Linked DNA regions of Drosophila melanogaster. Changing the gene in region 2 together with the main gene of any one other region gives a genetic interaction. Each region holds a gene or a part of one and is shown on either strand. Other genes may lie near its edges.

Region 1 (4,442 bases), on a different chromosome or scaffold from region 2:
GGTTGGCCCTTATGTAATCGCCGGCGTTTGGACGAACTTCAAGTCCGCTCCTCTACGTACTTGTAAGCCGGAACTCCAGTCGCTGCAGGCAGACGTGCGATTCACTTGAAGACTCTGGGAATCAGATGAAGCCGACTCGAGAATCGCGGGAATCAGTGGTCGGGTGGAGACCTCTCGAGCGAGCACACAACCGAACGCTTGCGTCGTCGGCGGCGGAATGAAGAAAACTGAATTATTTTCCACGAGCTGTTTTTGCGAAAAATCGCTCGCTCACTTGATGAGGGGCGCCTAATCGGAGAAGCAGAGCAACTGTTCTCTGCGGTAAACAAAAATTCACCTAGGCAACGCTCAGACAAGCGATGCGTCAAGGGTTTCCCATCAGCCAGGCTGATGATGCAGCTGCTCCAGGTCCAGTTCCTCGCGCAATCACATGATCCCGGGCGGGATTTTGTGTTCAAATTGAATGCTCTTCTAATTGATCAATTCCCAGAATTAGAAACTGAAGCATTCGGCGGTCCACTGCGCAATACCATCAATTGGTGGTTAGTCGGTGGCGATGACTTCCACCGCCTGCAAGTGGCCATATCCGCCGCAGCCACCAAAGCGAACTGTTCCAGTGCTCAATAGCCTGACCCCAACTTGACTCATCCGGCGAATTGTTCGCCGCTCCTGGCGCCGGCGCTTCCTCTTTTCATATTGCGATCAAAGGCCCGTCGAGTGGTTTCGGGTATATGTATGTGTTTGTATATTTTGACTGGACTCCGGCGAGGAGCAAAGGCCACGTGCATTGTGTTAGATGAGATGTATAAATGTAAAACTTACTCGTTAGTGGAAGATTCAATTCGATTAATTTAAATAACTACTAGCTAACCAATGGACACCATCACATTTTCAGAGGAGCAGCGTCGAGCGACATGGGCAGCACAGGTTCCGGCTGGTCGATGATCAGCTTCAGATTCTTGTCGGGCCACTCGAGCTCCAGTCGCTCCTTGGGCTCGCATTTCTCGTCTAGGCCCGCGCTGCGGAAGTCTTCCATCAGGCGCGGCACCAGTTCATCGGGAATCAGGACCTGAATCCAGTAGCCCAGCACGCCGTACGGTTCGTTCACTGTCACCGCCGAGCCGGTGACGGATTCCGCCACCAAAGTGAGCGCCAGATGCTGAGCCTTGAAGGTGAAGTGGCGCCCATGTCGGATGCGATCCTTGATGGCCAGTAGGAGGTACTTGGCCACACCAGGTGCGAGGGTAATCTCAATACCGTCCAGTGAAATGCAGTTTGGTGCCTGCGCTTGAAAGTCCAGGGGACAGGACTTGTGCAGCGAATTGCTGCTCATCGACATGGATTGTGGAAAGCTTGGTTCCTCGCGTTTCATTTGCGTATCCGTCAGCTGCCGATTGTTTTCGTCGTTGGCGCACTTCTCGCTCAGCGCCTGGAAATCCACCTCCTCCTTCACCTCCTTGGTAGGTTTCAGCTCACGGAACGTAAAATCTGCATTAACGCCGGCCAGATCGGAACCCTGCTTCTCCAGATCGTCCTGTAGGTTTAGCAGCGTTTCGGGAAACAGTTCGAAGACGCTCATCTGGCGATCCATGTTAGTCACCAGCCAATCACCGCCAGTTTGCATATCTTGGCGAAGGAAGTTGAGCACACCGCGCCCGTTCCAACGCGATGCCTGCTCAAGTTCGTCGTCAAAGACGCCGACGATCTGGCAGAAGTCCACCGTGCCCGTGGGAGTGTCGATGCAGCCCAACTGCGGGTCCTGGGCGACGAGCAGGTTCTGTAGCTTGGAAGTGGTACTGCCATCCAGACTCTTGCGCCACGGGATGTTGTCTCCGAAGCACAACCCGTTGCCTGTTTGAAAACAATAGCGTCCGATGGCCTGCAACAGGTTCGCCGGCCAGGTGGGCGGTCTTTGGGGCTTTTCCGGGTTCTCAATCTGCTGCTTTAGCTCTATTTCTGTTTTGGCCAAGCGAAAGGTCAACTCGAACCCCATGCCAGACCGAGTGACGCCCTCCTCGCGCAAGTGGACTCGCTCGTCCCCGTGTAGGTCGCTGAGTCCGAAACTAATGTAGTGCCAGTGCGGCGGAACGTTCCTATCCACATCTCCGGGATAGTTGTACATGCTAATGTAGTCCAACGGATCCTGACCGCCCAGCCAGTACTTGAGCAGTGTGGTCACCTGCAGCGGGTTCGGCTGGTTGGGGTACACCTGCCCGAGGTGGTCTATGATGGCCTTAAGGCCCGGCGGAGGCTTCACCTCAGGTTTTTTGTCCAAATTCGCCTCGGCCATTTCATCCAGTTTGATCAGTATGACCTCAGTTGGAACGTTGCGGAATACCACCGCTTGAATATACCATGAATAAAAATACTGCCATGTAAAGTGCGGATTTGACAATGGAAACTTACATGAGTTTCTTTTAAAACCATTATTTATTTTTAAAACCTTTTTTATAATAATTATTACTTTCTTACTTTTTTCTGCTTATTTTTAAAATGTAGAGAAAAACAGTGAAAATATATATCCATATAGCTTTAAACCACCACCATGTAAAATATTGAGTATTTCTTGCCGTGGTATATTTTTACATGCTGTTTATTTCTGCCAACCACCTACGGTCACCCTGTTGACCAACTATTTAATAGAAAATTTGCAAATTTTGATAAACGCACAAAATGGAGCCTTATGATGTCGTCGTCAACCAGCCCGTCGTCATAGATAACGTAAGTGGAGATGGGGCTCATTAAATGCGGGTAGCTTTGTGCAAATCTAGGGTTCCCAAAGTTTTAGCCAGCAAACAGTGACATCACCTACCGCCCGTCCCTTTGTCAACGAGCTTTCAAGCCGTCTTCAAATGGCCAACATGACTAATCCCAGAGAGAATAGCTCCGCAAACGCCAGAGATGGTTCAATTCGGAAGTGAAGACAGCGAAAACGGGGAATTTGGTCTATAAAGCTTGCGTGGAATCCCTTTATCTGCCCAGCACACGCACACACGGATATCTGCGGGCGGTGGCTGCATCCCTGCTGTTGCGTCCCTGCATCTGGAAGCCTCTGTCGAAGTCCATTTGGTGCCCGTACTCCATTGGGTAAACCACGGGAATAGACTCCACATGGGAGGCAGCGGGTCGCTTTAAGCGCTCCAGTTCGGGATCTATCTTCACACCACACTTGCCCCTGTATGTGCTGAACATCTTGGGGCGCAGCAGCTTGTTGTAGGGATCGCGGAATTGATCTCGGTACTTCTGGCACTCCAAATAGAAGGAGTCCACCTTGTACAAGCTGCCGTAGCTGATGTTGGTCAGTCCAACTGGCGGTGCGAACTTTAGTAGCGATTCCCGTTCGTATTGCGAATTCTTTGACACGGTCATCATGTCCACTTCCGGCACACTAAAGGATTCCATGTTGACTATATAGATTTCCTGTTTGCACGTTGAATTTTAAATAAAATAAGCTGACGCAACTAACTAAATGTATTCCACATCACTTTTGACAGGGCTCCGGTGTGATCAAAGCCGGCTTTGCTGGTGAGCACATTCCAAAATGCAGGTTTCCCAATTAGTAAGTGCCGTGGACCACTCACGAACCTTAAGAACCCCTAGAACTAATGCCTTCTCCTGCAGCATTGGCCGGCCCAAGCATGTCCGAGTGATGGCTGGTGCGCTGGAGGGCGACATATTCGTTGGACCCAAGGCGGAGGAGCACCGTGGCCTGCTTAGCATCCGGTACCCCATGGAGCACGGCATTGTCACCGACTGGAATGACATGGAGCGGATATGGAGCTACATTTACAGCAAAGTAATTTGTCCATAAATGTTCCATAATCTTAACTAAATGTTTTAAATGGCATTGACCAGGAACAACTGGCCACCTTCACGGAGGATCATCCCGTGCTGCTGACCGAGGCCCCGCTTAATCCGCGCCGAAACCGCGAAAAGGCAGCCGAGTTCTTCTTTGAAGGCATCAATGCACCTGCGCTCTTTGTGTCCATGCAGGCGGTGCTCAGTCTGTAAGCATTGCAATCTCACGAACTGCCCCTATCGATTTCATTTAACCACACTCTTGCAGCTACGCCACCGGTCGTGTGACTGGCGTAGTGCTCGACTCCGGCGACGGTGTGACGCATGCGGTTCCTATCTACGAGGGATTCGCCATGCCTCACAGTATTATGCGCGTGGACATCGCCGGGCGCGATGTGACGCGCTACCTGAAGACACTCATCCGCCGGGAGGGCTTTAACTTCCGGTCGACTGCCGAATTTGAGATTGTGCGCTCCATCAAGGAGAAGGTCTGCTATCTGGCCACCAATCCGCAGAAGGAGGAGACCGTGGAAACCGAGAAGTTTGCCTACAAGCTGCCCGACGGCAAGATCTTTGAGATTGGACCTGCACGCTTCAGGGCGCCGGAGGTGCTCTTCCGGCCCGATCTGCTGGGCGAGGAATGT
Region 2 (6,889 bases):
TATTTGTTTCGTCGGCAGGCACTGCCTTTATACCGAGTGCTTTGATTCCTCTAGCCGCTTGTCACTTGCACCCAGATTCCAGTAATTCCCTCCGTTCACAAAGGCGGCGGTGCATCGTTGTCATTGGGTTCACGCAGTTGCTAAGTTCACACCGCTGATCGAATCGGCAGGATGGTGTGGCAATGGTGGTGGTCAGTAGAATCGGCGGCCAAGTGACATTCACCAGGGGCGAACGGTGATGTGCGACTGGCTATTTTGCCGCCAGGATTGGCTTTCTTAAAGTAGTTTGCATAAGCTACCATTCAGATTTTTTTCTATTTCTATGAATAAATAACTTATAGTTATAAATAAATATTCTACATGCACATGTACATTTTGGTCTGGTTCAATAATTTATATGAAATAAGCTTATATTAAACTAGCTTATTTATTTGCCAGCACTTTGCCGGCTATACCAGCTGACCCCTTTGGTTTAGTATTTTCTGGTATTTTTCGGCATTGGTATCCGGTGTCCAAAAATTGGGCACTCCAAGCCAACCATGTGCGTTGGAAACAACAATTGCATTAAAGAATACACATGTTTATTCAAAATTTCAATTTGAAATTACCACTTTGTACGAATGTTCACTTAAATCTAAAGGGTTACTAGACTAGCAGTCGCTCGATCTCCTGCTGAATGGAGGTGATCTGCGACTTGAGCTGGCTGCCCTCGTTGGTGGTCACAGAGCAGGCGACTATTGGCCGGGAAACTCCGCACGCACGCCCCAAGGCCTGCTTGGAACGAACGAAGACGTAGGGCACGTTCTTGTCCTCGCACAGGAGCGGCAAATGGAGCAGAATCTCGATGGGCTCCGCATCACCGGCCAGCACCACAATATCGGCCAGTCCGCGATTGAGGGTCTTGGTGGCCTCGTTGGCTCCCTTGCGCAGTTGATTGTAGTTCAATGCTTGCTGCAGCAAGTTCATGATCTTGGCGGTAAGCTGGGCATCGGCCAGCGGGAATGCCTTGGGATTAACTTCCTCAGTCTGCAAAGATTGGGATACTTGTTGAAATTTACATCTCTCGATGCTAACGTGGATGCACTCACCATATTGGCTTGTTTATTGTATACTTTTACTGGAAAAAAGTGCTTTAAAATGCAACCTCTCCGCTTGCTGCTTCACTGAGGGCAATTGCAGAACAATTGAAATCGCTTTCAAACACGTGCGTTAGCGTTAGAAAACCGTTCGCAGGTGGTTCGGAAATACCAAATAAGACTGGTCATACTGCCATCTAGGCAATACTAATCGTAACGGAAATTGTGTTCTCTGCAGCCCTAGCTTAAATATACTTTTGATAATTTAAGGGAATTCCCAAATAGAATTTCATAAAATAAAAAAGGAAATCCATTTAAAAATATTTCGTAAAATCGAATCTAAACTTACTTCATAATACAACGTTTCATTAAACAAGTGCTCTATTTTTATTAAAAATTATATCTTTCATGCAGCTTAGAACTCTTTAAACATAACAATAAAATAATCCTTACAGCTTACGAATTATATATTATTATAATTATTTATTAAAATTTTGGATAACCGCTAGCTATTTCCGATCATTTAGATTTTCAGACGGAATAGAACCCGCGCAGTAGGGATTACTCATGATTGCGCCGCACGGTTCACGCTGAGCGAGCTGCCTATCGCTGGCCTACTCACACCTGCGTGCTGGGGCGCATCCGCGAGTCGCGTCAGTCGAAAAAAAAACTTTGAACGATTTGGTCGGGAAAACTCGGTTCGGCGGCTATGCGGGTATTTTTAATCTAAGCCATCAATCCACAGCTACAGTGCATCAAATCGATCGGAAAGTCGAGGCAATATTTCTGAAAGTGTTTACAAATCGCTGGCATCGTAGTCGTAAATTTCAAAAAGGTAATTTCGCGCAGCGAAAATGGAAAAGCAAAGTCAAACAAACTCAGAAAAAGGAAATGAATGTAAAAAATCGATTATTCAATCTGTGTATGTGTATGTTGGTGTGTGTGTGTTAGGTGAGCGCTGAGTGTGTATGCGTGTACGATAGTGTTTGTTTAAACCACGGGATTTTTTTATGCCCAAATCGAATGGCGAAAATTTAGCACACCGAGCAATAAAGGCCAATTTAACTAATTTAAAGTGTGCGAAATGTGGAAAAGTGCCTGCGAAGAGAGCGCTGAAGAGAGATCGCAGAAGTAAAACCAGAAGCGCATACATATGCACATCAACTCGCACACATACACACACGCACACCAGTGAACGCAAAGAAGCAAAAGCAAAGGAAATGAAAAAACAGAAGCCAAAGCAAAACGGTGCCAAAAAAGTATTTAATAATTAAAATAGGCGAAAATGAGAGGGAATGCGCGAGGAAAAGGAAGCAGCACTGCGTAACAGTGCGTGAGTGGGAGTGAGCTGGCACTACGGCATCAGCTGTTTGACACTTGACACGATCGAAAGTCGCCTCCTCTCGCTCTCTTTGCCATTCCTCTGTTCTCTTCTTTTTATTATTTTCTGAATTTCGAGTTTGTGTGCGATTTTGTTAAGCTTATTTATTCAGTGATTATAACCAGCTTTTTATTAAGCTCCATAAAAGTGCCAGCAAAGCGCTGAGAACAAAAACAATATGAAGTGAAAAATGCGAAAGAGCGAAAATACATAAGAAACTTAAAATATAATCTATATGTGTGCATAAAGAACTCGGAAAACTGGACTCTTATTTTTAGCCCCTTACCGAATATCCCGCTAATTTGTGCCGTTTTCTCTCCCGTCTCTCTTTGCAGCTTCTCAAATTAGAGTAAATCGCGATCATAAGCAACCTTAAAGTGTGAAACCAAATGTTAGTCTAAGCCTAAAGTGTATAACTAGTTTAAGACCTCACAAATTAAAGAAACCAATACGTGCTAAAACCATAACTTAAACGCGTCTTAACCAAGCGCCTTTAAAACGCAACCTAAACACCAATTTAAAAGGATATTCAGCGAATAAGAGAGTGAGAGAGCTCCAGTGAGAAGCTCTCTTTGGCCCATAAGGAGCAACTATTTCATCCGCACCGTTGACCCGTAACTCGGCAAAATAGCTAAGTCCATTTTGCAGTTCCTCAAAAAGAAAAAGTCCCATCATAGTTCCACATCCGGCGAGGGCAAGCTACAGGCGCAGTCCAGTTGCGAGGAGGAGGGCGGAGCGGCAGCGGGAGGAGCGGGAGCGGCAGCGGGACCTCCAGCGGACCAGGCTAGCAGCAGCAGCAGCGGCCCCTCGTCAGCAGCCGCCGCCCACAAGAGCACGCCCCCTGCCGCCACGACCACGCCCGGTTCAGGGGCGGATTCAGGAGGAGCCAGCGGAGGAACAGGAGGAGGGGGAGGAGGACCTAGCACCTCCGGCGACGATCAGGCCCAAGTGTCGGCCAGCGCAACCTTCCGTTTGTCATCGCTAACGGGCACCATCTCCAAGATGGGCAACAACGCCACCACGTCGAATAAGAAGGTCGATGCCGCCGAGACGGTGAAGGAGTTCCTCGAGCAGGCCAAGGAGGAGTTCGAGGACAAGTGGCGACGCAATCCGACCAACACCGCCGCCCTCGATGACTTCGAACGGATCAAGACCCTGGGCACCGGCTCCTTTGGCCGTGTCATGATCGTCCAGCACAAGCCCACGAAAGACTATTATGCCATGAAGATCCTCGACAAGCAGAAGGTGGTCAAGCTGAAGCAGGTGGAGCACACGCTGAACGAGAAGCGAATCCTGCAGGCCATTCAGTTCCCCTTCCTCGTCTCGCTGCGCTACCACTTCAAGGACAACTCCAACCTTTACATGGTGCTGGAGTATGTTCCCGGTGGCGAGATGTTCTCCCACCTGCGCAAGGTGGGCCGCTTCTCGGAGCCGCACTCGCGCTTCTACGCGGCGCAAATCGTGCTGGCCTTCGAGTACCTGCACTACTTGGACCTCATCTACCGTGATCTGAAGCCGGAGAATCTGCTGATTGACTCGCAGGGCTACCTCAAGGTGACGGACTTCGGTTTTGCCAAGCGGGTCAAGGGACGCACCTGGACACTGTGCGGCACGCCCGAATACCTGGCCCCGGAGATCATTCTGTCCAAGGGCTATAACAAGGCCGTGGACTGGTGGGCGTTGGGCGTACTCGTCTACGAAATGGCCGCCGGCTATCCGCCGTTCTTTGCGGATCAGCCGATTCAGATCTACGAGAAGATCGTCTCCGGCAAGGTGCGCTTCCCATCGCACTTTGGCTCCGATCTGAAGGACCTACTGCGCAACCTGCTGCAGGTGGATCTGACCAAGCGCTACGGCAATCTGAAGGCGGGCGTCAATGATATTAAGAACCAGAAGTGGTTCGCCTCCACCGACTGGATTGCGATCTTCCAAAAGAAAATCGAGGCGCCGTTCATTCCGCGGTGTAAGGGTCCCGGCGACACGAGCAATTTCGATGACTACGAGGAGGAGGCGCTGCGGATCTCCAGCACCGAGAAGTGTGCCAAGGAGTTTGCTGAATTCTAGAGGAGCTCTTCGCCAGTCAGCCCAATCCCCTCGTTCTGCAGGCGCCTGCAACTGCAATTGTATCCGCTACTGCGATTGTATCTGCAACTGCTCCTGCTGTTGCCACCGCCGTGGCATCGCGGACCACGTCCTCATCGTCGTTGTCGTCGTCTTGTCTATATGTCTACTACTTACAACTACAACAACTGTAACAGCCCCTCCCACAACACAAAAACTACAGCCACATCTTCGTCTGAATATCTATCCGTATATACTCCACATCCATACTATTGCCAACATTGGATTTCTCACCACACACAACAATTTACATCAGCGTAAGTATATAATAATTGAATTTAAAAATGTTGAGGGTTTTGAAAAATATATTGTGAGTTAGAACCCTTTGAACAGCGAAATTTAGTCAAGCCTAGAAAACTCAGTTGGTTTACTCAGCAAAGAAAAACAAATACAATTTCACATTCCGAACCGTAGGTCTAGGTTTCAAAATTTGTTTACTTCATAATTCATTCACTTTATTTATTACTAATAACAACATTCTTATTCACGCCTAATCATACTGATAACACGACTTGAGATTTTTAGTAAATAACCACAATATAAACATTAGGCTATTACTATATACTTTATTTTATTTAGAAAGTGCATATTATAATTGTTCTACTGCCTACCTTTAGAATGGTTTATGAAGAGGAATTACTATTGACTTACAGAGATATACGGGAAAAGGCGAGTTCCTAATTTATTATGCCATATATCAATCTGCAAATGCACACAGAAGGCTATTTCTATTTCTCACCATATTTGCTGTACGGGATATTAATCTATTGACTGTATTCCCTACTTTCTTTGGTAACGATTCACTGGCGAAAGCGAAGGGTATTCAGGGCAAGGGTATTGCAGGTTTGTTTTTGTTTTGACTTTAGCTGGAGATTGATGGACTTGAGTGGCTTGATTGATTGATTGCTTTCAGCGGAATGTTTTTGCTTGTTTTAGGGAGAGCAAGTGAGTGAGTGCCAGAAAGTTGATTATGAGACAAAAGGCATTTCAGCTCGTCCGTCAATTGTTCTGCCCGGGACAGTACACGGAATTCTTTTAATTAGTTTCCGTCGGTGACTTGGCTTATTGCGATACGCGGATGGTTACCCTGCGGCACCCAAAACCTACGTGATGTTTTCTCAAAAAGATATTCGAGCATGACCACTTACTCACTTATTTGCAGCCAGACCCCCGGGGCAGTTATACCCGTAAACATCGAATCATTAATTGCAATAAGCGTCAGAATGCGGTCGTAAACGTTAACTGTAGCAGCCGGGCATAGTTCAGACGGGTCTAATCTCCACAACAGACAAACTAGACAGCTGATAGTAACAATGCAAGCCAATTACGTTCAAAGGAATTCTCGGTGCTTAAAGTAAATTTACACAAAAGTTGGTGGTGGGTTGTAAATCATGAAACTTTCTAGCTATAATTATTTGAATTCAACTGGAATGTATTCAGTTACACTTTAGCAGAAGTAAAGTAAAAAGCCATTTAACTTATATTTCGAATCATTCTGTGATACATCTTCTTTAATTAAATACCAAAATGCTTTTCCATTTTAATTTCCTGGGACTCCCACAATTTCCACACAGAAATATAGTCATTCACACTTGACCCATTTGAAAGGCCAACAAAAAGGGGAGAGAAAGCCATGAATAATGTCAAAGCAAAAGGCAGTAAAAGAAGTATATCTTTTATTTTATGAATTATTTCTCGTTTCTTTGCGGAGCTACAAAGAGCTAGCAGCTAGATTGCGTGCCCGTTGGCCATTACCGAAATTGTGTTTCTTTTATCAAAGCCAAACGCTGCTGGTAATTAATAAATTATAATAAGTTTTATGTCCAAACATCATGAGCAAAACAAAAGCAAGAGCTGCGTGCGAATGCCGCATAAAGTTTAGAAATTGTGGGGAAATGCGAAAAACTAAAAACAGAAACGCAATCAAGAGTTGTTAATTCTGGGAGAAAAGCTTGACTGCAGATCAAAGGGGAAAAATCCGAAATATTCACGCCAATGTTCATGCGGTAATCGTTGGCCGTGACCTTGTTCGACCTTTGGCCTAGCCCCAAAAGAGTTGTCCATCCGAACATTGGTTTTTTTTTTTTTGGTTTCTCCTTCGATTCCCTGATGTACATATATAAGCATTTCCATGCGACATGTGTTGTCTACAGTTTTATTGGCACCAATTATGTGTATAAATGTATGTATAAACATTCGGTTGTTTCTGTCGCTTGCTGCCTGAGAAGGCCATCAATCATTTGGTTTTGGGCCAAGTCAATTAGACCCGTAGTCATGGGTACTAAGTGTCGGGCATTAGGTTTACTTATTT

What was found.
Region 1: of Pka-C1 (region 2) and Su(fu), changing one enhances a phenotype caused by changing the other (phenotypic enhancement), as found in Drosophila melanogaster (2 studies listed by BioGRID).

The regions. Positions count from the first base shown.
Region 1 is NT_033777.3:12,689,149-12,693,590, forward strand, and holds Su(fu) (suppressor of fused), read right to left. Parts: upstream 2,321-4,442; 5' UTR 2,291-2,320; coding exon 884-2,290; 3' UTR 725-883; downstream 1-724. Other genes in the region: Arp1 (Actin-related protein 1), read left to right, coding at 2,674-2,721, 3,495-3,559, 3,622-3,796, 3,856-4,007, 4,067-4,442; CG31347 (uncharacterized protein), read right to left, coding at 2,971-3,402.
Region 2 is NT_033779.5:9,694,137-9,701,025, reverse strand, and holds the start of Pka-C1 (protein kinase, cAMP-dependent, catalytic subunit 1), read left to right. Parts: upstream 1-1,728; 5' UTR 1,729-1,911; exon of another isoform or gene 1,912-2,324; intron 2,325-2,594; 5' UTR 2,595-3,459; coding exon 3,460-4,521; 3' UTR 4,522-4,835; intron 4,836-6,889. Other genes in the region: hoip (hoi-polloi), read right to left, coding at 646-1,026, 1,089-1,091. UniProt on the Drosophila melanogaster protein: Serine/threonine-protein kinase involved in memory formation. Promotes long-term memory by phosphorylating meng and by regulating CrebB protein stability and activity.